Elephas maximus indicus: one gene and its partner. The protein of the gene in region 1 purifies or fractionates together with the protein of each later gene. This does not show direct contact. Links are inferred from orthologs where the notes say so. Each region holds a gene or a part of one and is shown on either strand. Other genes may lie near its edges.

Region 1 (10,447 bases):
GTAGACAATTTAAAACATTTTTATAGAACAACAAAGAGATGTGATGGGTAGAAGGGAAATTTACACATGGTTTACAGATAAGCATGAGTTCAAAGCCACGTCCTGCTGTAGCAGTCTCTATGAATGACAACTACAGGTACCATGGGAGTGCAGCTCTGTGCTGTCTTGGGGAAGTCTCACTGGGAAAGCTTGGGAGGCAAAGCCCTAGAACAGCAGGCAAGGGACCCACGGGCTTGAGTGTTAGGAGGTCACTCAGCTACAGAGGGAGATGGGGAAGAAAAGGGCCATGAGGACTGAACAGGGCAGGGCCAGGCCTGGGAGAAGGGCTGCTGCGTGGACATTGGGGAGGAAGCAGGGTCAGGATTTGCCTTAGTGGCACAGTGGTTAAGTGCTTAGCTGCTAACCAAAAGTTCGGAGGTTTGAACCCACCAGTTGCTCCACGGAAGAAGGATGTGGCAGTCTGCTTCCGTAAAGACTTCAGCCTTGGAAACCCTATGGGGCAGTTCTACTCTGTCCTATAGAGTCGCTATGAGTCAGAATCGACTCAACGCCAGTGTTTTTTGAGCAGTGAGATCCTGAGCTAAACTTGGACCGAGTGAGGTGGGGAGAGGCCTGGGAAAGATGCTGAGTCCTGGTCAGGACATAGCTGTGCGGTGCCCGCGGGTCAGCCAGGGCCTCCCCTACACCTGGGTTCATGAGTTCTCACTCACCTGAAAGATGCGAGGGTCCCCAGGCGGGGGGCTGCCAGAGGGCGAGTAGACAGGCTCCAGCCGGGTGAATTCCTCTGCAAAGTTGCCCACATCCAGCTCAGAGCGGATCTGGGGCCGGAATGGGGCCGGAATCTTCCTGGCAGCCAGAGCAGTCCAATCCAAGCCCTGCGGAAAAGGAATCAGAGATCAGGGTTAAAGGTCAGGAACTGGACTCAGGCCACCCTCACTGGGCAGCTCCTCAATGACCCAAGGGCCTCTCTTGTGTTTGGGGTGAGCAGCTGCTCTTCCTGCCTCCCCAGTTTCCATTTCCCTCTCTCTGGTAACAGAATCTCTGTTTCCTTTACAAACCACCTCTCCACTATGCTCTGTCAATTCTGAGACTTTTTATAGAATTGGTCTGAAAAACAAATCTCTCTTAAATTTGAGAGGATGTGAGCCTGGAACTGCTGGGGTACCCTCAACATCTACTGATGAAGCCCCATGAAGAAAAGCAGAACCAAGAGACAAAGAAAGGCACTCCTGATGACACAGTTTGAGCACCTGGATGCAGCCTTGCCTGAACCCAGAACCTGTCCCTTGGACTTTTCACTTACAAGAGCCAAAACATGCCCTTTTATATTTAAGTAAGTGTGGCTGAGCCTGTTAATTGCCAGCCCAATAACCATTCTCCCTGTCTTCCTTAGAACCAGAACCCCAATTTTATTCCAGACAGCAATATACATAACTAAAAGATATTTTATGAACTGCCTTGCAGCAAGGGATGACGAATAACTTGTAAGCAAAAATTGTGAGGTAGAACTCCAGGGAAAGATCCTCAAGAAGGATCTTTGCAAGTGCTCTTTTTGCCCTTTCCATCCTTCTTCCCTCTGCTTCCTGCCTGGGAAGCAGCCTAGATGGCAAGATCTCCAGCAGCCATCTTGGGCCGTGAGGCAACCCTGGGGTGAAGCCTACACGCTAAGAATGGAGAAGCATAAGACAAAAGGAGCGTAGGTTCCTGAAGACACCATGAAGACCCCACAGCAGCCCTGGTCTGCCAACCTCTATACTTCATGTGAGAAAAAATAATAACTTCTTTTTTCTTTAGGCCACTCTTCGTTCCAATCTCTGTTACTAGCAGCCGAACTCTATTCCAACAGATACTACCATTTTGAATTAGACTTTTTGTCACTTAAAGCCAAGAGGCCTGAGTCAGGCTTAAAGGACCCAATTCTGCCACCAGGGATCCCGGCATTGCTATCACCAAAGAGGCTGCCCAGAAAGAAGGTGGAATGAGGGGAACAACCCTACCAAGAATCAGGCCTCAAAGGCCTTGGGGTCTCTCCTGTGGACAGATCCACCTGCTCCCAGCACCCAGCACAGCACCTGGCATGCACTCAGAATGGGTTTAAGGAACTCACTGAAGGAAAATGACACTTCTCAACTGCTTCCCCTTCTCCCCCAGCAAAGAGACATCTTCACCAAAGAGACTTAGGCTTCTGTCTGAGAAAGCATCCGCAAGGGCCCTTCCGGGTGATACTTACTGGGGAGACTCAAGGAGATGGTGCTTGTAATACGGGTAACAGAATGCCCGGCACATAATAAAAACCACTCCAAACCCGTTGCCATCGAGTCGATTCCGACTCATGCAGACTCCCTTTGTTATAGAATAGAACAGCTCCATAGGGTTTTCTTGGCTGTAATCTTTCTGGAAACAGATTGCCAGGTCTTTCTTCTGTAGCACCAGAGTGGGTTCAAACTGCCAACCTTTAGGTTAGTAGTCAAGTGCGAACTATTTACGCCACCCCAGCAGCCATAAAAGGGTGCTTTTGTTATCGTATCAGACAAGTGGCATATCTGTTGCCCACAGGCAAACAGAAGAACACAGCATTTAAGAGCACAGGCCTTCAAGCCCCTAGACCTGGGTTTGAATTTGAGCTTTTATTGCTTCCTGGCTAGATGAACTTGGGCAAATGTCTTAACCTCTCTGAACCTCAGGGTCCTCGCCTATAACAGTGGGGATCATCAGGATGGTTCAGAGGGTTACGTGAAGTAACGCAGGCCGATGGCTGACACAGTGAATGCTCACTGCCGTAAGGTCCTGCTGGGTGCTGGTGATGGCCAAGCACCTGGTCTCACAGGGAGGTGGAATGCACATGCTCTTAACCAGTCAGCCAAGCCCCACGTGGGCTCCTCAACCATCCATCCAAATGGCAGGCACTCAGGCTGCACAAAACTCCCTCCATTGCCGTCAAGTCAGTTAGGACTCATAGCGACCCTGTATGCAGACCCAAACTGCACAAGGACAAAACAAAACGGCCGCGGGGACGCTAAAGAGCCATACCTGTGATTTTCATTATTAATTTGGGCCCAGAGGAGACCTGGGTTCTGTCCCCAGCTCTACACCATTTTCTGTGCCATCTTGGGCAGTCACGTCCCTTCTCTGGGCCTGTCAATTGAAAGGACTGGTTGACCCATTCTCAAGTCCCTGCCAGCCCAGACATGATGAACCTAGAATTCTTTCCTTCTGGAACGCATCTCCAAAGCCTCAATGGGGGTAGATGAGAGGATAAGCCTCAACTTATACACATTTGCTTTCTTTCCCTGGAGGGTGGTCTGGACAAAGTGAAATCTACCAGGCTCAGACCCTCCCTCTGCATCCCCCAACCCAGAGCAGTAGCCTGGCCTAGGTGTGCCCAGCACGGAGGTGTGGGGCCCAGAGTCCAGAGCCTCACCTGGAAGAAGGGGTGGTTCTTGACTTCCTGTGCCCCCTGGGGACCTGCACCCAGCCGCTTCTTGGGGTCCTTGCAAAGCAGCCGCTGCAGTAGGTCCTGCGCCACAGGCCCAATCCGGGGGGGGAAGGGAGGGGAGCACTTCAGGATCCGTCTGAGAGGATTGGGGGGGGCGTCAGGGGCAGCGAGCCCCCCCACAGCCCTGCCCAGGCAGGCCCCTGGCCCTTGGCCGCCTCCACGTCCGGCCCTCCTCACCGGGACACCTCAGCCTGGGTGTTCCTCTCGCCCTCCAACGTGAAGGGCGAGGCCCCCGTCAGCAGCTCGAAGAGCAGGATGCCCAGGCTCCACCAGTCCACGGCCTACCAGGGTGGAGCCAGAATGAGGGCCTACACCGCCCCGGGCCCACACCCACTGCCCCTGCTTCCCCACCGACCTACCTTGCCATGCCCCGACTTGCTGCGGATGATCTCAGGGGCCATGTATTCAATAGTGCCACAGAAAGAGAAAGTCCGTTCTTTCTGGGAGGGCGAGAGGGCACATTTAGGTACCAAAGGCCTCTCTTTGGCCCCAGCAGCCCCCAAAGCTCCGAGTGAGGACTTGATGGACTTGTGAGGGTGGGGGCAGCGGGAGTTTCTTGAAGGCAGGGCCTGGGTCCATTCACCTCTGCACCTCTGGAAACACAGAGCCAGGCACAGGACAGGAAGAGACAGGAAGGAGAAGCTTGAATGGGGATGCAGTGGGCAGAGAGATGACCCTCCCTCACCTCCTCCGTCAGGAACTCCTTGCTCAGCCCAAAGTCCGTGAGGACGACGTGGCCCTCGGAGTCCAGCAGCACGTTCTCCAGCTTCAGGTCCCGGTAGATGATGCCCAGCTGGCAGGGCAAGAGGGGCACTGAGCTTCCTCCCCGAAACCTTCCCCAGCTCCAAGCCTCCAGGGACAAGTCCCCCACCCATGTCCCTCCACAACTGCTGACAACCAGGTCTCCACTCAAGACAAGGAGACCCTCCGAGAGGAGGTCCCTGATCAAGGACACCTGCGTGCAGAGGGACTCCTGGGACAGGGGCTGGGCTGGAGCTGAACCATTCTAAGGACCAAAGGCAAGGCAGGAAGACCCCAGGAAGAGGCCCCACTGGAGCAGCCCCAAGGTCCCGGGAGAAGGAAAGCCGGGTGAAAAGCTCATTTCAAACGCCGGGTGGAGAGCTCATTTCAAGGAGGTGCAGGGAGCGAGGCTTGAGGTCTGATTTTGAGGAAGTTCTTTCTGTGAGAGCGTCTCAGGAGGCAGCCCCGAGCTCCCTGTGAGAGGAAAGCCCCTTGGCCGAGGCGCCAGGGGAGGAGGCCCTTCCCCCCACCCCCGCAGGCCGCACTGAGCCCTTCCTTCCAGGCCTGTGAAGCAGCTCCAGTCCCCATTGAGGACACCGCGCCCCAGGAGGCCCGGGAAAAGACCCACCACGGCCATGTTCTGAAGCCCCTTACAAGCCGCAGGCGCATCCCCATGGCAACAGCCGCGTGGTCAGGGCCCCGCCCACCTTGTGCAAGTGTTCCAGGGCCAGCACGATCTCGCCCCCGTACACGCGCACCTCGGCCTCCTTGAAGTGCTGGCGCTGGTAGAGGTGGGTGAACATCTCCCCGCCGCTCACGTAGTCTGGGGGACGGGATGGGGGTCAGAGAGCGCCGGGTCCGGGTCACCACGCCTGCACCCACCCCGGCCGAGGTCAGAGTGCAGTTGCCCTTACCCAGGATGAGGTGCAGCTTGGCGTCGGTCTGGAAGGCGTAGTGCAGCGTGACCAGGAAGGGTGCCTGGCGGACCAGCTCCAGCACCGAGCGCTCGGTGCGCGTGTGCTCCTGCGTCTTGGCGCGCTGCACCAGCGCCGCCTTGCGCAGGACCTTCATGGCATACAGCTTCCCCGCGTCGTGCCCGCCCGCCTTCCGCACCAGGAACACCTTCCCGTAGGCTGTGGGAGCAGCAAGTGGGTGGAGGGTGGTCCGTGAGCAGGGGGGTGGTGCAGACTGGCGGGGGCGGGGGGTGATGCCAACCCAGGAGGGTGTGCAAATCGAGGGTAGAAGCCGGGTCGCCAGGCAGGTGTGCAAAGAACTGGAAGAGGTGTGCAAGGAACAGGTGTGCAAACCCCAGGAGGATGCTCCGCAAAACCAGGGCGGGGATGTGCAACCCAGACTGGGGAGCATGCATCCCCAGGGGGCCTGCAGCGCGAGGTGGGGGCGGGGCATGTGCAAACCTGCGAAAGAACAGGCGGATGCAAGAGGATTCAAATCCAAGGAAGGGATGCAGAGATGCGGGTGGGCAGTGCAAACTAGGGCTAGGGAGTTTGCAAAGCGGGGGAGGGCGCTTCGAGCAGGGGAAGGGGAGGAGCTGTGCAAATAATTGGGAGGGATGCAAGGCCCTGCAGGGTGCTGGCAAACCGGGAAGGGGGCATGCACGCACAGGACCTGGCAGGGAGGAACGATGTCACCGTTGAGCTGGCCCTGGGAGAGGGCATGCAAACCCTGGCGGGGCAGGGCGGGGCGAGCTAGGCGGCTGTGCCGGGAAAGGGTGGGGGGCCTTCCCGGTGGCCTGGCCCGGGCCCAGGCGGGTTTGCGGCCCTGGAAACCCAGGGCACCGAACCTGGGACACCTGCCTGGGGGCCCGGGGTCCTCACCTCCCGTGCCCAGCACCTTGAGCAGCTCGAAGTTCTCCACGCTCACCTTCTCCTCATGCCCGGTAAGGTTGGCTGCGGACACAGGGAGCGAATCAGCTCAGCCGGCCGTGACCCTCCCAGTCCTACGCGACAGCCACCCCGCGCCCCCTGCCGCTCTTGCTCCACCTTCCGTGATCCGCAGCTCCACCGCACAGCTCTCATCCTCGTCCTCGTCCCCCATGGCGGGCGGGTCCCTGGGCCCGCGCGGCTCGGGCTCCGGGCGGCGCCGGTTACATGGCGGCTCCGGCCGGGGCGGGCGCTTCCTGGTGCCGCCTCCGGGCCGAGGCGGGCGCCGCCTCTCGGCTCTCCGCCCCGCGCGGCCTGAGTCAGGCGGCTGGAACGTGACAGCGCCGGGCCTCAGTGGGCGGCCGGTGGGGGTCGCCCTGTCTCCCCGCATGGGGGCAAGCATCAAGGCTGTATGCTAAGGAGATCCACATGCAACCCCCCCCCCCGGGGATCTGGGACCTCCCCCTCTTGGGAGACATGCCTGGGGTCCCTGAGCGTACACTCCCAAGCCAGGATGCCTGCTGAAGCCAGTGTCCCAGACACCAGGAGCCTATGCCCCAAGGTGGAGGGAGGACCAAAACAGGCATAGAGACCACCCCTCCTAGAGTCCAGACCCAGTGCAGCCGCCAGTCCTCCACCTGATTTTCATAGCCACCAGCGACAGTGCAAGGGCTTTCATAAAAAACACAGCCCACTCACTCCATTTGTGATCACTTTGACCTCCGCAAAGAGGGTTGGGGCTCTGTGTGCCCCTTTGACTGATGGGCGGCCGGGGCCACCGTCATCCAACACAGCCTGGGCCCAGCACCCTCACTCAGTGTGGCCAGTCCCCTGGGTGCTGGGCAGGCAAGAGGATGTCAGGGTCCTGGAAGCCACCCAGTCCAAGGCAGTGGAACCAACCTGGCCCCAGCTCTGTCACCTCCAGCTCCCCGCCTACATACACCTCCAGATGGCCAGCCAAGACTCCCTCTCTTGTGGACTTGACTCTGCAGGGGAAGTATGAGGGGGCTTAGGGGCCTTCAGAACTAAGCCTTATCTTGGCTCCTGCAGCACCACTGGGACCTCTTGGTGCCTACAGGGGGCTCCACAGGGGGATGGAGTCAAGCCCAGCTGTAGTAGGACGCATGGATCTCTTTTTTACACCAACTGGATCTCTTTTCTCTGGGTCTGCAGAAGAGCCTCAGTCCCCAGCCACCCTCGGAAGCCCACCTGGTGCTGCACATACCTCCTATGGTACTATCCCCCTGTTGTCCCTGAGCTTGGCATGGTGCCCAGCCCAGAGCAGACCTCAAAAAGGATGTCAGAGCCACACAGGGGCAGTCCCCTCTCCCCATCAGACCCAGAGCCCCTGAGTGACCTATCTCCCAGAGCCTCTGCCACCTCCTCTTCCAGCCTCCTGGAGGCAGCCAATTCCCGGGCCTCGCCCTCTCTGGCAACTGACAGAGGCCACAAAGCAGGGTGGGGAGGCCACCACAACCCCGGCTCCGAGGCCTACGGAAGTGGGCTTTCTGCTCCTCAGCCCAGCTGGAGGTCAGGGGGACCACCCCACCCACTGCCCCCCCCCCAGCTCCACTGGAGAGGAGGGCAGAGCTGGGGGTTAACCCCAGGGCAGGGGTACAGAAACCCCTTGAGCCAGGCTCTGCAGGTTACCCTGGCGGGGCTGGATGGCCACCCTCCCGGCTCTGCACACCCCCAGGTTCAGGAGTAGCCCATCCCGCCCTGGGCAGCCCAAGTCCCCTGACTCACATCTGGCCACCCAGCCTAACTGCCCATCTTCCCAGTCTCTTCCAAAGCCCTTGGTCCCTCCCACCTCCAGCATCCCTCTATGGCAGCTCTTGACATTAGGTGGTGCCCCACCAAGCACCAGGGGCTCAATTCCAAAGGGATGGGAAAGAGGAGATGAGAAGGTGGGGGGAAGTGAAGGGTGAGAAGAGGGTGCCCAGGAGGAGGTGGGGCCTCTGGGGCTTACAGACCCTGCCTTGTAGGCAAAGGCGGAGCTGAGACTTCAGGCCCCACCCACTGCTGGAGCACTGTCCTTTATTACCCTGAATGCACCCACACACACGCAGGGACATCTAGGCTCTGGCAAGCCCGGCTGGCCTCACCTAACAAGTGCCCTTTGCCACCCTGTTGGGGGCAGGGAGGCCCGCCCTCTGCCGCAGACTGCTGCTCCCGTGCCCCCACCAGCGGGGTGGACTTGGAGCTGCATGTGTCCCTGACGTCTTGTAGCCCCTGGATGCAACCAGAAGACACAACATAATTCAGGTGACTGCATCTCGCTTTATTCTGACGTTCCTCACGCCCCGGCTCAGAGATTGGCCCAGGTCACAGACCCCAGGGAGTGGTCCTTAGCTCCCCACGTGGACCGGGCAGGGGGGCTCTCTTGCCTGCTCCCGCCAGCCTCCTTCTGAAGGGTGATCCCCCAGAGACTGCCTCCTCAGTGGGGGCCGCAGGGCAGAGCCGGTGTCCTGGCAAGGAGCTGCCCTTGGGGGATGGCCATGCCCCCTGTCCACAAGTTCGTCCCAGCTCCATCTCAGGGCCTCTTTGTCCAAGGACTCCCCTTGGGCACCCTGGCTCCCTGAGCTCTTGGGCTGGCGAGAGCCCCCACCGAGGCTCCAACGGCGAGAGGGGAGTGCTCCCGTGGGCCCCATCCATGTGGTGTCACTGGCTGAGGGAAGGGGTGAGGAGACGTTTCTCCTGTTCCTGCACCTCGAGGCCTGGAAGGAGAGGCTCAGCTCAGGCCTCCTGACCCAGGACGACCCCTAGTCCTCAAGAGGCCCACCTCAGCCCCCCAACCTCCTCTACTCCAGCCGCACCATGCTCCTCGCCTGTCCTGAACACGCCAGGCCTTCGCTTTGGCTGTTCCTCACACCTGGAATGCTGGCCCTGGCAGATTCTCACCTCCAAGTTTTTGTTCCAGCTCCACCTCCCCTTTGAGGCCTACCTAAGCACCCTAATTAAACGGCAACTCGCCTCCTCCTCGGCACCCTAACCCCCTCACTCTATACTTTTCCCCAAACATTATCACCTCCTAATATTCCGGGAAGGAGCCCTGGTGGCACAAGGATTAAGCGGTTAAGCACTCAGCTGCTGCTGAAAGGTTGGTGGTTTAAATGCACCCAGCTGCTCCTCGAGAGAAAAGACCTGGTGATCTCCTCCCATAAGGATTAGCCAAACCAAAGGCATTGCCGTCAAGCCAATTCCAAATCATAGCAACCCTGCAGGACAGAGTAGAACTGCCCCATAGGGTTTCAAAGGCTGTAATCTTTAGGGGAGCAGACTGCCACATCTTTCTCCTGCAGAGCGGCTGGTTGGTTGGAACCACTGACCTTTCAGTTAGCAGCCATGCCCTTAACCACTGCGCCGCCAGGACTCCTTCCCCGTAAAGATTACGGCCTAGAAAATCCTATGGGGCAGTTCTACTCTGTCACATGGGGTCACTATGGGTAGAAATCGATTCTATGGCACCTAACAACAATAATGGTATTCTAGAGCTGGGCTGTCCTGTACGGCCACTCCGAGCCACGTATGGCTGCTCGTCATAGAATAGCCACTGGACTTCCAAGACTTAGTATGAAAAAATTATGTAAAATATCTCACAGTGTAAAAATTTTACACTGACTACATGTTGAAACGATATCTTAGGCATACTGAGTTAAAGAAAGTATCGTTAAAATCAATTTCATCTGCCTCTTTTTGCCTTTTGTGATGTGGCTACTAGGAAACTAAAAATTACACGTTGTATTTCTATCCAACAGGGCCTATTGATTACCATCTGTGTCCCCTAGCAGAATGTTCCCTGCTATATCCTTAGCTAGTACAGGACCTGGCACTTAGTAAAGACTCAAATGGATGGAGGAAGTCTGTCAGGAGCCCTGGTTGGGGTGAATACTCCAACCCCCTCCCCAGGCCCCCCTCACCCTCTCGGCTGACATCTGCTTCATGTTCCGCCAGGGTCTCGACGGAGCCGTCCCATCCCACACCAGATCCTGGGGGGGACACGATATAGCCGTGGGGCCACAGGGATCACTGGGGCAAAGGTGAGTGGGGCTTGTGGGAAGACACCGGACAGGAGGGAAGCCCCCTCCCCCAAGGAGATGATTGGTCCACTGGGAGTGGGGAGCTAATGGAAACAGGGTCCCCACCTTTGCCAGAGGAGTTGGGTGCCCCCAGGGGGCCTGGGCGGCGCTGGCGGAATCGTTGCCGTGGGGTGTCCCCAGGGCTGAATGACTCAGAGCTTCGCCCCACAGGGAACCGTGAGCTGAGTTTCCGCCGCTGCCCACCTGCCAGGGTCTCATCCCGTAGGCACAGGGAGCTCTGGGCCCGGCGC
Region 2 (10,447 bases), on another chromosome or scaffold:
TAAACCAAAGCTATACAAATATTGGAGATACAAAAGAGAGAGGCCCAAGAAATCACAGTGACCAAATAATGTGGGTGTTTCCAGAGAGGACAGTGCAGGACTGGGGGTATTAGTGGAGAGTCGCTAAAACAGGTTGGATTCTGGGAGGGGTAAGGTGTCAAGGTCCAGCCCGGGGAAGAACCAAAAGTCCTGACTTGTTGAGAAACAGGTATGTGTGACGCAGGTCAGCAATGGACAAGCCCAGGCTAAGGGGCAGAGTGGCCAGAAGGTCCAGGCCTTCAGGCTCCATCCCAGCATGGAAACTGGGCAGGGGCAGGGAGAGGTTCAGGGCTTGGTAGAACCGTTGGCTCTGGAACTTAGACAGGGGCAGGGCCAGGAGCCTGTGAGGGGGTTCAGACGGGGGGCTCTGGAGCTGGGGGCTGGACCAGGAGTTGCAGTAATCATACTGGCAACACTGGGCCTGATACCAGTACTTCAAGAAGTAGGTACTACGTTGTTCTCGGCAGTGGTAGGAATTGTATTGTCCACAGGCTCGGATGATAAAGCGAGGCTTTAGATCTGAAGGAGAGGGGATAGTCAGTAACCCTTGCTGCCTCCCATAGTCCCCAAACATGGCACTCTGACCACTGACTCTCCCCATCCCCCAGCCAGAAGTGACTTCCATCCCAGTCTCCTTCAGAAGGTTCCAGAAAAAATAGCTCAGCTAGCTCCCCAAAATCTCAGGCCTCTCTTTCCGAGATCCTTCTCTCTTCTTCCTGGACCCCAGACCCAAGAAGGGCCCAACTATGTGAAGGGGAAACCAAACCCGGGTCTGTTCCACCCACTTCCCATTCCTGGAACTTGACTCACCATAATAGATGGTGATCACCATGCATGGGGACAAGCTGTTGATCGTGCACTTCTCTGAGCCCGAAATGCAACCTACAGCAGGGTCTTCTAGGAGGCAGAAGTGGCAGGTTCGAACTTCAGGAACAGGAACAGAAGCTGGGGAAGCAGAAGATAGGAGGGGTGGGAATCTTGGCTCGCTCCCCAGTTCCCCGGCCCTGCAGGGAACCCAGGCATCCAGCCCCACCCTGTTCCTGAACTCATGGTCACCCCTTCCTCCCTGCCCCTGGGCCCCACTTACCCTTTTCTGCTGAGAAGCCCACCATGACCAGCATGCCTGTAAGCATGTGGACCCTCATTATGGAATTCTGGAGAGGGGCAATCCCTGAGGGGTACCCTGAATCCCCACTTTCCTATGACCACACGCCTTGATTCTGAGCTGGAGGTAGTTCTGATAGGCAATCTGACCAGGAAGGGCTATAAGCGCAGAGCTATATTCCTGCCCAGGGCAGGATCCTGGGCTGCAAGGGGAAGTTATCAACCTGGCAGGAGGGACAACATGTCCTCACCCACGAGGTCTGGTTCCTGAGTGTGGGAGTAGTGGCCCAGACAGAGGTAATACTTGGGCCCTACCTGGGCTCTTTACTCAACTATTTTTGTTCTGCGTGGCCCCCAAAGCCCTATCCCTCACCTCGAGGGTCCATGAACTAGGATGTCCATCTCTGGGACAACCTGCTCTCTACCCCACACAAAGGGCCAGACCAAAGCTGCCGGAACAACCTTTGACCAGCAACCCCGCATCTCCATCTTTCTGAGACACGCTCACACTCTCTCTCTCTCACACACACACACACACACTCACACCGAGCAGCAATTCTGGACTTTATTCCTCCTCTCTCCAACTCTTACAGTTCTCTTGATTTTAGGACTTTCCTTTAAAACCAAAACTGAAAGACAATGCTGTTGATGACATCCCTTTCAGTATGAATAGACAATCACAGATAGCCCCCCAAAAAACAAATATTTTTCTAATCTTTGAAACCTGATTTTTCTCTGGGTCTTTTCCTTGTGAACTTGCACTTTACACCCAGCCCTAGGAGTTATGTTCTGTTCTCCACTAAAAACATCAGCCAAATCCACAGGGCACAAATCTGATTTCCAACTTGGGGAGGGTGGGCCCCGAGGGCTCCCAGAGCTACCCTCCCATCCCCAACCCCAAGCATCAGCAGACCGGCTCATGGCCTTTTCTTCCACTTTATTTGATATCCCCACCACAATAATGACTCCTTTAATTTAAACTAAAAACCACAGAGGATTCCTGAAAGGGTGGCAGCAAAGGAACAGGGGTGTAAAAGACTGAGGAACAGGTAGGCTAAGGAATCAGCGAATCGTCTTGACCGGGCTCTTGAAGTTGCTGGCAGCTTGGAGCTGCAGCTGGTAGGCCATCGGGTGGATCTTGAAACCATAGAGCCTGGGCCGGGGAGAGATCAGAGAGGTAGTGGGATGAGTGGGTTACATTCCTGCCTCCCCACCCCTCTGCCTCCGTGGGCTTCCTCAAAGCTTAAGGGCAGTAGTTCCCAAAACTCTTTACTCAAGAATACTTGGAAATGTATGTTAAACATCAATTAAAACTCAAATTCTATATCAGTTCTTGTTTCAAGGTAAAACTGAACTTCTCTTTTTCATAGACAGACTTAAATTGATGCCCCAAAAAGATGAATCATATTTATTAATCTGGTAAAAGGCTGAACACCCAAGACAGTGGTAATAATAACCAAAAATCAAATTAGGTGCCATTGAGTTGATTCCATGGTGACTCAAGGTGTGCAGAGCAGAACTGCTCCACAGGGTTTTCAATGGCAGTGGCCTTTTGGAAATAGATTGCTAGGTCTTTCTTCTGAGGCATCTCTGTGTTGGTTTGAACTGCCAACCTTTTGGTTAGGTAAGTGCTTAAGCACTCACGCCACCCAGACACTCCGGTGATGGCAATAACTAAAGTTTAAATATTTTAAGCTCCAAACACTGTTCTAAGCAATTTACCTGTTCAAAGTCACCCTATCAGGATAACACTGCCATCATCCCCATTTCATAAAAAATAAAACAAGCATAAGGCAATTAAATAATTTGCCCAAGGGTACTCAGCAAAAAGAAGCCCTGGCCTGGGGGAACCAGACCTCAAAAAAGGGGATGCCCTGCCTTCCCTTATCTCCAGGGGACCTTGGGTCTTTTCTTTGATCCTTGGTAGCTCTGTCCTTGCTCCCCACCTGGGCACAAACTGGTTGGCGGGCCGCTTGGGCCGGTACTCGGGGTGCACCATGAAGAGCATGTGAGGGAAGCCGGTGCCGAAGTAGGCGCCATCCGTGTGGTGATGCCTCGATGACTTGGGTGTGTACACATCCATGCACTTGGGGCAGTAGAGCTTCACCATGGCCTCGCCTGGGATATCCGACAGGCCTGCGAGACAGCCAGACTCAGCCGACTGGGCACCTTCTAACCTGCACAACTTTCACCCAGGACTTGGGCCCCGACTTGCTAAGTCCCAACACATTCCCAGGGCACCTGCCATATGTCATCTACCACTATCCAATACTCACCAATGGGGAGCATTGGCTGGTTCTCACAGTACACACGGGGACAGTAGCCAAAGTCTCCTTGCTGGTATTTTTCCAACTGAGGTAAATAAAATGGCGAAGACTGGTAGACAGGTGTGAAATGATGCAACCCACATAGTGCTAACTCCCCCCTCAGCCCAACCTATATCACTGTGCCCCTAATCCTTCCACCTCTGTCCAGAGGCCCCTTCCCTAGCCCAGACAGACCCTCAGACTCTGCTGCCTCCTTTCCTCCAGTCAGGCAGGCTGCAAACCAGAGTCATTCACTGTTTGTTCCCCAAGAAAGAGATAGTCTGCAAGAACTTCCCATTCAGGGTCATGTCTCCCTCCTGAAAACAGCCTCCCACAACATGCCCCGAAATCAGGACTCAACTCCCAGGCCCAGATTCTGGGCTTCTTCCCCTCTTCTCAGCTAGACTCCCTGGCAAAGTTGAAATGTATGACTTCTTGCTGCTGGAACCTGTTTCCCTTATTGCCTCAAAAGGAGTCAAGTGGGAGTAGAGTCCTCACCATCTGGGCGATGCCACGGTTGGTGAGGATGTAGCGGGCGTGGATCAATCCATACAGCATCTCAGCTGCCTGCTCAATCAGGTCACTCTGGTTGGGGTTGTCTTCCAACTCTTCATCTGAAACATGGCCCGGCCCAAATGCAACCACTTGCCATTCAGCCTTCCTGAGGGTGCTCCACTCACTCCCAGTGGCTGCTGGCTACTCAATTTGCCCACCACCTATCTCTGAGTCTCACCCCACCCATCACCTGGACATTCAACCCGTAAACCTAGGTTTCTGACCCCTTCCACCAACCCAGGGCAGCTCTGCCTTCCCTCCACACCTCTTCAGCCTCCGTTCTCTTCTCTACCCCTACCTCGCTTCTCAATACATAAATGCAAAGATGTCAACGCAGAAGGTGGAACTCTAGACTGGAAGGTGCAGGGCAGAAGAAACAGGCAGAAAACAAGACACTTGGGGAAAGTGGCATTATGGAATAAAGCCGAATTACAGAATCAGTGAGCACAGGAACAGATGGCAGATGTCACTAAACCAGGCAAGAGCCAGGTGGAGAATCAAAGTGAAGGAAGAGATTTTGGGATAAAGGAGACAAAGAGCCAAAAGAAAATTTAGAAATTCAAGAAACAGGGGAATTGGGATTTTGAGAGGAGGAAAAATCAAAACAAAACAACAACCCTGAAAGTGCCTCACCAGGCTCCAGGTCCAAGATCATGTCAAGGGCTTGTCGATAGTGGGGTACCTGCTCATTGAGCCCTGTGAGGTTGAACTTGTCTTGGATGTAGTCTTCATCCACCTGTCAGGATGTGGAAGTGAAGAAGGAAACCACAAAGAAACTCCAGGCTTTGGCACAGACATGTTGCTCTAACTGATGCCTTGTTCTCAACACAACTGCTTCTGTTCCCGTCATCCCCCACCCCAAACTCAAAAGAGGTACTCACACACTCCCTCTCCTAAAAGCCCTGGCCTTTCTTTTCTAAGGATGTCTCCTCAGATAGACATTCTTTTCAAGTTCCCTATCCGTACTCCTGCACCCCATCTCTAGGAACCAGTTTTGTTCTCTCTTTAAGGATAGCTGGCTCTCTGAGGAAGGTGGAGACTGACAGCTCAGATTCTGAAGGTTACAATCCCTTACGTTAACAGAGAACTTTACACATTACCAAACATTTTAACAGGTAGTATTTCAATTCTCGTAACAGCCACCTGAGACAGGTACTATCAGTACTATTCTAGTGATAACAAAGACATGGATTGACCTTCTCGACATCTTCCTGTCGGAAGATGGAAGGCTTGGGACTTGAGCACCAGTCTTGCCGCTTCACTACAGGTTAATGGGAGGTACTGAGGGGACACTTCCTTGACAAGAGGGAGTTTCCATGGAAGCATCGGAAAAAATTATAAGAAGGCTGAATATGTGTGGGAACGCCTGGGGTCAGAGTCTGTGTGGAGCTGCGCTGGCAAGCAGGGAGACTGAGGAGAACTCACTTCACAGAAGAACTCATTGCCACGGAGCCCACAGAACCAGGAAATCCAGGACACCTCCTCTGAACTGCTCATCTTTACGTCAGCTTGAAAAATAAGGGTGTAAGTAAAGCCGGTGACCCAGAGCTTTCCCTCCCTCCCTCTGTCTCTAGTATCCTCCCTCCTCCCACACTTCACCTTCCAACCACAGAAGAACCTTGGGGTCAGCCTTTCTTAAAGGAGAGCCCTGGTGCTGGAGTGGTTAAGAACTATGGAGAGCTGCTACTGCTAACCAAAAGGTGGCAGTTTGAATCCACCAGCTGTTCCTTGGAAGCCCTATGGAACAGTTCTCCTCTGTCCTATAAAGTCTTCAGTAGTCAGAACTGACTCGATGTCAACGGGGTTTTTTAACGGGGTTTCTTAAAGACTCCCAGACTCCGGAGCACCCCTCTCCAACTCCTTTTATTTACACCTCAGCCCCTTTTCTCTGCAGTTAGAAATCCTGTGCAGTCCACTTGCAAGAAACCAAGAGATGTGACCCACCAGTCCTACCCGCATCCCTGGCTCTCCCGCAAGCCGGGCCCCTCTCCCTTCCGTGTCAACTCCAGCAGGGTCCTCGACTCCGGCTCCCTACCACAGTAGGGCTCTGCAAGTTTCCGGAGCCTTTCCCAAAGGTCCCGAAGTTTATCCTTCCCGGGAAAGAGCCCGGCCCCTCCTTTTCTGACGGCCTGCGGGTGACTGTCAGATCCCTTCCACAGGAGCCCGCACATACCGCAGCCGCCCCCCAGGACACCCCTCCCTCCCTCCCTCCCTCAATGCCGGACCGGGTCACTTCCTTCCCCGCCCCCACATCGAGGCGCAGAGACCCCATGTGCAGCGCCAACGAAGAAGAAGGCTCGGCGCGGCGAGGACCTCAGACTAACCTGCTGGACAGGGGCCGGGAGTGGGGCGGGGAGGGGAGTTGCTGCTTCCAAGCGACAGCTACAACGAAGGCCGTGGACCCGACCGCGGCAGGCGACGCGCGGTGGGGGGAGTGGAAATTGGGGAGGGTGGGGAAAAGAGCAACGCGCAAGCGCCAAAGGTCCGGCACCGCGGTGGACGCCGGGAAATAGAGTCCCCGGTAGGGACAAACTGGCGAAACGAGGGAAAAGCTAACTACGAATCCCAGGATGACCCGCACACGACTCTGGTTCGCTGGGCCCGCGAGGAAGACGCTCGAGGGCGGGGCGCAGCGAGGCGCCACCGGAAGCGGAAAACAAATGCCGCATTCGGGGCCAGAGCCTGGGAAATACAGAGTTTTGCTCCTAGGACTGAGGGGCCGAGTGGGGGCGGGGAAATCAGCGCGCCAGGCTGAAGTCTCTCCCTGCCTCTCTCCTCACTGCTTGATACTCAAGTCCTGGCTAAGCGCCTCCGCCCTGGAGTCTAGTCCTGTTTATTCCTAGTCTCGTCCAGGCCGTCGCGTCTTTCTTGCCTGTTAGGTCCCTTGCCCCAGTCAGGCCTATTCCTGGGGCTTCCCCTTCTCCATAGGGCCCACGTTTCACCCAGAGCCCCGGCCTCCTGAGAAAGAAAATGCTCCGTGCTGAGAGACCTAGGTGGGCTGGACTGGGCTGGGCTGGGCTGGGCTGAGCGATGTGAGAACCGGGACGGCCCAGTGCGCTAACCTGAGGTGGCACCAGCCATCCTGGCGCTTGTCCCCTTGCACTTTTCCATATCCTCTTAGGCCTTGAATAGGACCTTCGACTGCGGGCTCAAAGTGTAACCTTCGAACCTTGGTCAGAGTAATGGTGAGGGGCAGGGTGACGTTATTTCATGTCACAGCTTCTTGGCATTGCAGATTTCCCTCCTCAGTGCCTTTCCTAAGTCAGGGAATGGTTTCCCGGCTCCAGAAAATGAGCTCGGAGCGGAGGGTCACCTCGAGGGAGGTGGAGGGCATTGTGGGGCGTTATGTAAAAGCAGGACCCCAACCGACAGATCTTCTTAGGTCCTCGCGCCGCCGAGGCACGCGACCCTTTGCAGATTGACTATTGGAAAGACTCCAGGGCGGGAAACTGAACCCGGCGCTTCACGCCTGCGCTCTGATGTAATCATGGCTTTTTTTTTTTTTTTTCCTGCCACGCATGCGTTGTCTTGTCTTGTGGCTATTTGATTGTAGCGTATCTTTTGATTAGAGTAGCGCCATTCTGCCGTACGGAAGCCACAAAGCAATGCAGGCGGAGCCTCTTGCCGAAATCTGCTTCCGGAGAAGTGCCGAGACTGTTTTTGTTTGAAAGACGGAACCCCGAAATAGGAGCAGGAAGATTTAAAGGGCCAGGCCGGTTTTTTTTTATCTTAAACGTATGTCATTTGGTGTGGAAAAGTCGGTTCAGAGAGAGGCTCTCATTACTTTTATATGAGAGCGGGGTGGCAGGGCGGGACATAGGCCCTCTGAGCAACTCTCTCATGGAATTTTCTTTGTTGACATTTAGCAAGGAGCAGGTTATTGTAGGGTTTCCTGTTTTTACATGTGACCTATAACCCTTGGAGCCCTGGTGGCGCAGTGGTTACGAGCTTGGCTGCTAACCAAAATGTCGGCGATTGGCATTCACCAGCCGCTGCGTGGAAACCCTGTGGGGCAGTTCTACTCTGTCCTCCTGTAGGGTCGCTATGAGTCGGTCCTTAGGCGCTTAGGCCCTGCCGGGCCTTAGATTGTGGGGTCACTTTTGGGGCAGGAGGGGATCTTGGATTCTAAGGCTACTTTTCTTCCTTTCGGCAGCTTCCTGGAGGTGGATCTCGGCACTACAGGGGCTTTTGGGCAGTTGGCTTGCTTTTCTCAGCCTTCCCTTGCCCAGCCTCATTTTCTCAGCTCTCACAAAAGCCATGTCCAGGCCGTCCCTCATCACCTTCACCCCAGCCAGCGATTCTAGTGACCTCTGGAAAGATGGGCAGCAGCAGCAGCCACAGCCTGAGGAGCCAGAACCCGCCTTGGATGGGTCTGCAGTCCGTGCTTTCTACGAGTCACTGATAGAGAGCGAGAGCAGCTTTCCTGAACCCCAAAGATCGCACCCTGAGCCTGCCAGGGAGAAAAAGAGGAAGAAAAGAAGACTGATGAGGGAGGCTGCGGCAGAAGCAATGGCAGTGGCAGAGGCAGCATCAGGGGTACATGGACAAGAGGGATCCCTTGAGGCAGAGGACAAGCTAACCCAGTGGATACTGAGGGCAGCTCAGGAGGGGGACCTGGCAGAACTTCGAAGGCTGCTGGAACCCAGTGAGACAGGAGGAGCTGGGGGGAATATCAATACCCGTGATGCCTTCTGGTGGACTCCCCTGATGTGTGCTGCCCGAGCTGGCCAGGGGGCAGCTGTGAGCTATCTCCTGGGCCGAGGGGCTGCCTGGGTGGGAGTTTGTGAGCTGGGTGGCCGGGATGCTGCCCAGCTGGCGGAAGAAGCCGGCTTCCCCGAGGTGGCCCGCATGGTCAGGGAGAGCCATGGAGAGACGAGGAGCCCTGAGAACCGGTGAGAAAGTCTTAGCCCATGCACATATTTCAAAGTGTTCTGCTCTTCTTACTCACTCTGCACCAGAGGCCCCAGAACAGAGCTGAGGGTCCCCCTGCCCCATGTAGGTTGATAAGGCAATGTAGTAGCATGGTTACAGACATGAGCTCCATTGGTTTGAATCCTAACTCCACTTACTTGGGCAAACAACCTAAATGCTATGTGTCTCAGTTTCCTTATCTGAGAGATGGTGGGTAATAATAGTACCTTTCTCGTAGGGTTAAGATTAAATGGGCTAATACGTGCAAACTACTAGAGCAGTGCTTGCCATGTAGTTGTTAGTTGCCATTGAGTCAATTCTAATTCACGGTGACCCCATGTGTACAGAGTAGAATGCTTCATAAGGTTTTCAAGACTTTGACCTTTTGGAAGTAGATTGCCAGGCCTGTCTTCCTGGGTGGATTTCAACTGCCATCCTTTTGGTTAGTAGTGGAGTGCGTAGCCATTAGCCTCACCCAGGGGCTCCTTTGCTACATGGTAAGTACTATATAAATATTAATTGTAATCATTATTATTCCTTCCTCCAAAAGTCTTGTGAGGCCTAGTTACCATTTCTTCTCCCAGCCATTCCCCTCTGGGTTTCTCATTGCTAAGTGGGGAGGAAAGCAATTTGTTCCTTAGCAGAAGGGCTGAAAAGACCTTGTCCCACCCTGCCAGCACCCCTGAAGCTTCTGTACCCTTCTCCTGACCCATAACCCCCTCCCTCAACTCCTTCTCTTCTTCCTCTGCAGGCCCCAATCTCGCGCCTCCCACTATTGCGAGACCTGTGACGCCTACTTCCAAGATGCCAACCACTGCACATCCACCGCCCACCTGCTGTCACTGTCCCAGGGTCCCTGCCCCCCTAGTCTTCCCCCTGGGGTGCCTGCCTCCAGCCCAGGCTTCAGGTTGCTGCTGAGGGGAGGCTGGGAGCCAGGGATGGGGCTTGGACCCCGAGGTGAGGGTCGCACCAACCCTATCCCCACTGTCCTTAAGAGGGACCAGGAGGGTCTTGGCTACAGATCAGCACCCCAGCCCCGGGTCACACACTTCCAGGCTTTGGATACCCGGGCTGTGGCTGGGCGGGAGCGAGCGCCTCGGGTGACCACACTGAGCCGGAAAGAGGAGAGAAGGCGAGAGGAGAAGAGCAGGGCTTGGGAGCGGGATCTCAGGATGTACATGAACCTTGAATTCTGACCTTGGTGAGGTTTGACCCTGGTCTGCTGCCAGAGTCTGAACTTTGGCCCATGACTTGGGTACTTTAGCCTGTACTCCCAGAGGTCTGCCCAGGTCCCAGACCCTCAGGTTTTGGTCACTGGGCCCTCCCTGCCTTTTGGGAGAGAAGGGCTGAGAGTTGAGAAATAAATCAATCTTCATTCTCTTTCCTAATCTGTTCATTTTTCTGGAAGCTGTTGTGGGGGAAGCCAAACTGAAGTCTGGGGGCCACATTAGCATGGCCAATTGGAGCCACAGGAGCAGCTACCTCCAGATGGCATGATAGAGTCATCTCCCTACCAATCTGGTTCTTTTGGA

Evidence for each region. Proteins that work in one complex are often made in the same cells at the same time.
Region 2: the proteins of RPS6KA4 (region 1) and CSNK2B purify together in Homo sapiens (affinity purification with mass spectrometry; 3 studies listed by BioGRID and IntAct, with this or other methods). This does not show direct contact. The link is inferred for Elephas maximus indicus from reciprocal best matches to the Homo sapiens genes RPS6KA4 and CSNK2B.

Annotation. Positions count from the first base shown.
Region 1 is NC_064825.1:127,526,460-127,536,906, reverse strand, and holds the start of RPS6KA4 (ribosomal protein S6 kinase alpha-4), read right to left. Parts: upstream 6,431-10,447; 5' UTR 6,293-6,430; coding exon 6,238-6,292; intron 6,145-6,237; coding exon 6,073-6,144; intron 5,371-6,072; coding exon 5,152-5,370; intron 5,061-5,151; coding exon 4,945-5,060; intron 4,290-4,944; coding exon 4,182-4,289; intron 3,937-4,181; coding exon 3,856-3,936; intron 3,778-3,855; coding exon 3,674-3,777; intron 3,573-3,673; coding exon 3,422-3,572; intron 876-3,421; coding exon 711-875; intron 1-710. Other genes in the region: CCDC88B (coiled-coil domain-containing protein 88B), read right to left, coding at 8,779-8,834, 10,038-10,106, 10,263-10,447. UniProt on the Homo sapiens protein: Serine/threonine-protein kinase that is required for the mitogen or stress-induced phosphorylation of the transcription factors CREB1 and ATF1 and for the regulation of the transcription factor RELA, and that contributes to gene activation by histone phosphorylation and functions in the regulation of inflammatory genes.
Region 2 is NC_064819.1:93,194,752-93,205,198, reverse strand, and holds CSNK2B (casein kinase II subunit beta), read right to left. Parts: upstream 6,448-10,447; 5' UTR 6,329-6,447; intron 6,150-6,328; exon of another isoform or gene 5,958-6,149; intron 5,513-5,957; 5' UTR 5,502-5,512; coding exon 5,430-5,501; intron 4,741-5,429; coding exon 4,638-4,740; intron 4,064-4,637; coding exon 3,948-4,063; intron 3,520-3,947; coding exon 3,420-3,519; intron 3,280-3,419; coding exon 3,090-3,279; intron 2,297-3,089; coding exon 2,206-2,296; 3' UTR 2,061-2,205; downstream 1-2,060. Other genes in the region: GPANK1 (G patch domain and ankyrin repeat-containing protein 1), read left to right, coding at 8,262-8,896, 9,667-10,111. UniProt on the Homo sapiens protein: Regulatory subunit of casein kinase II/CK2.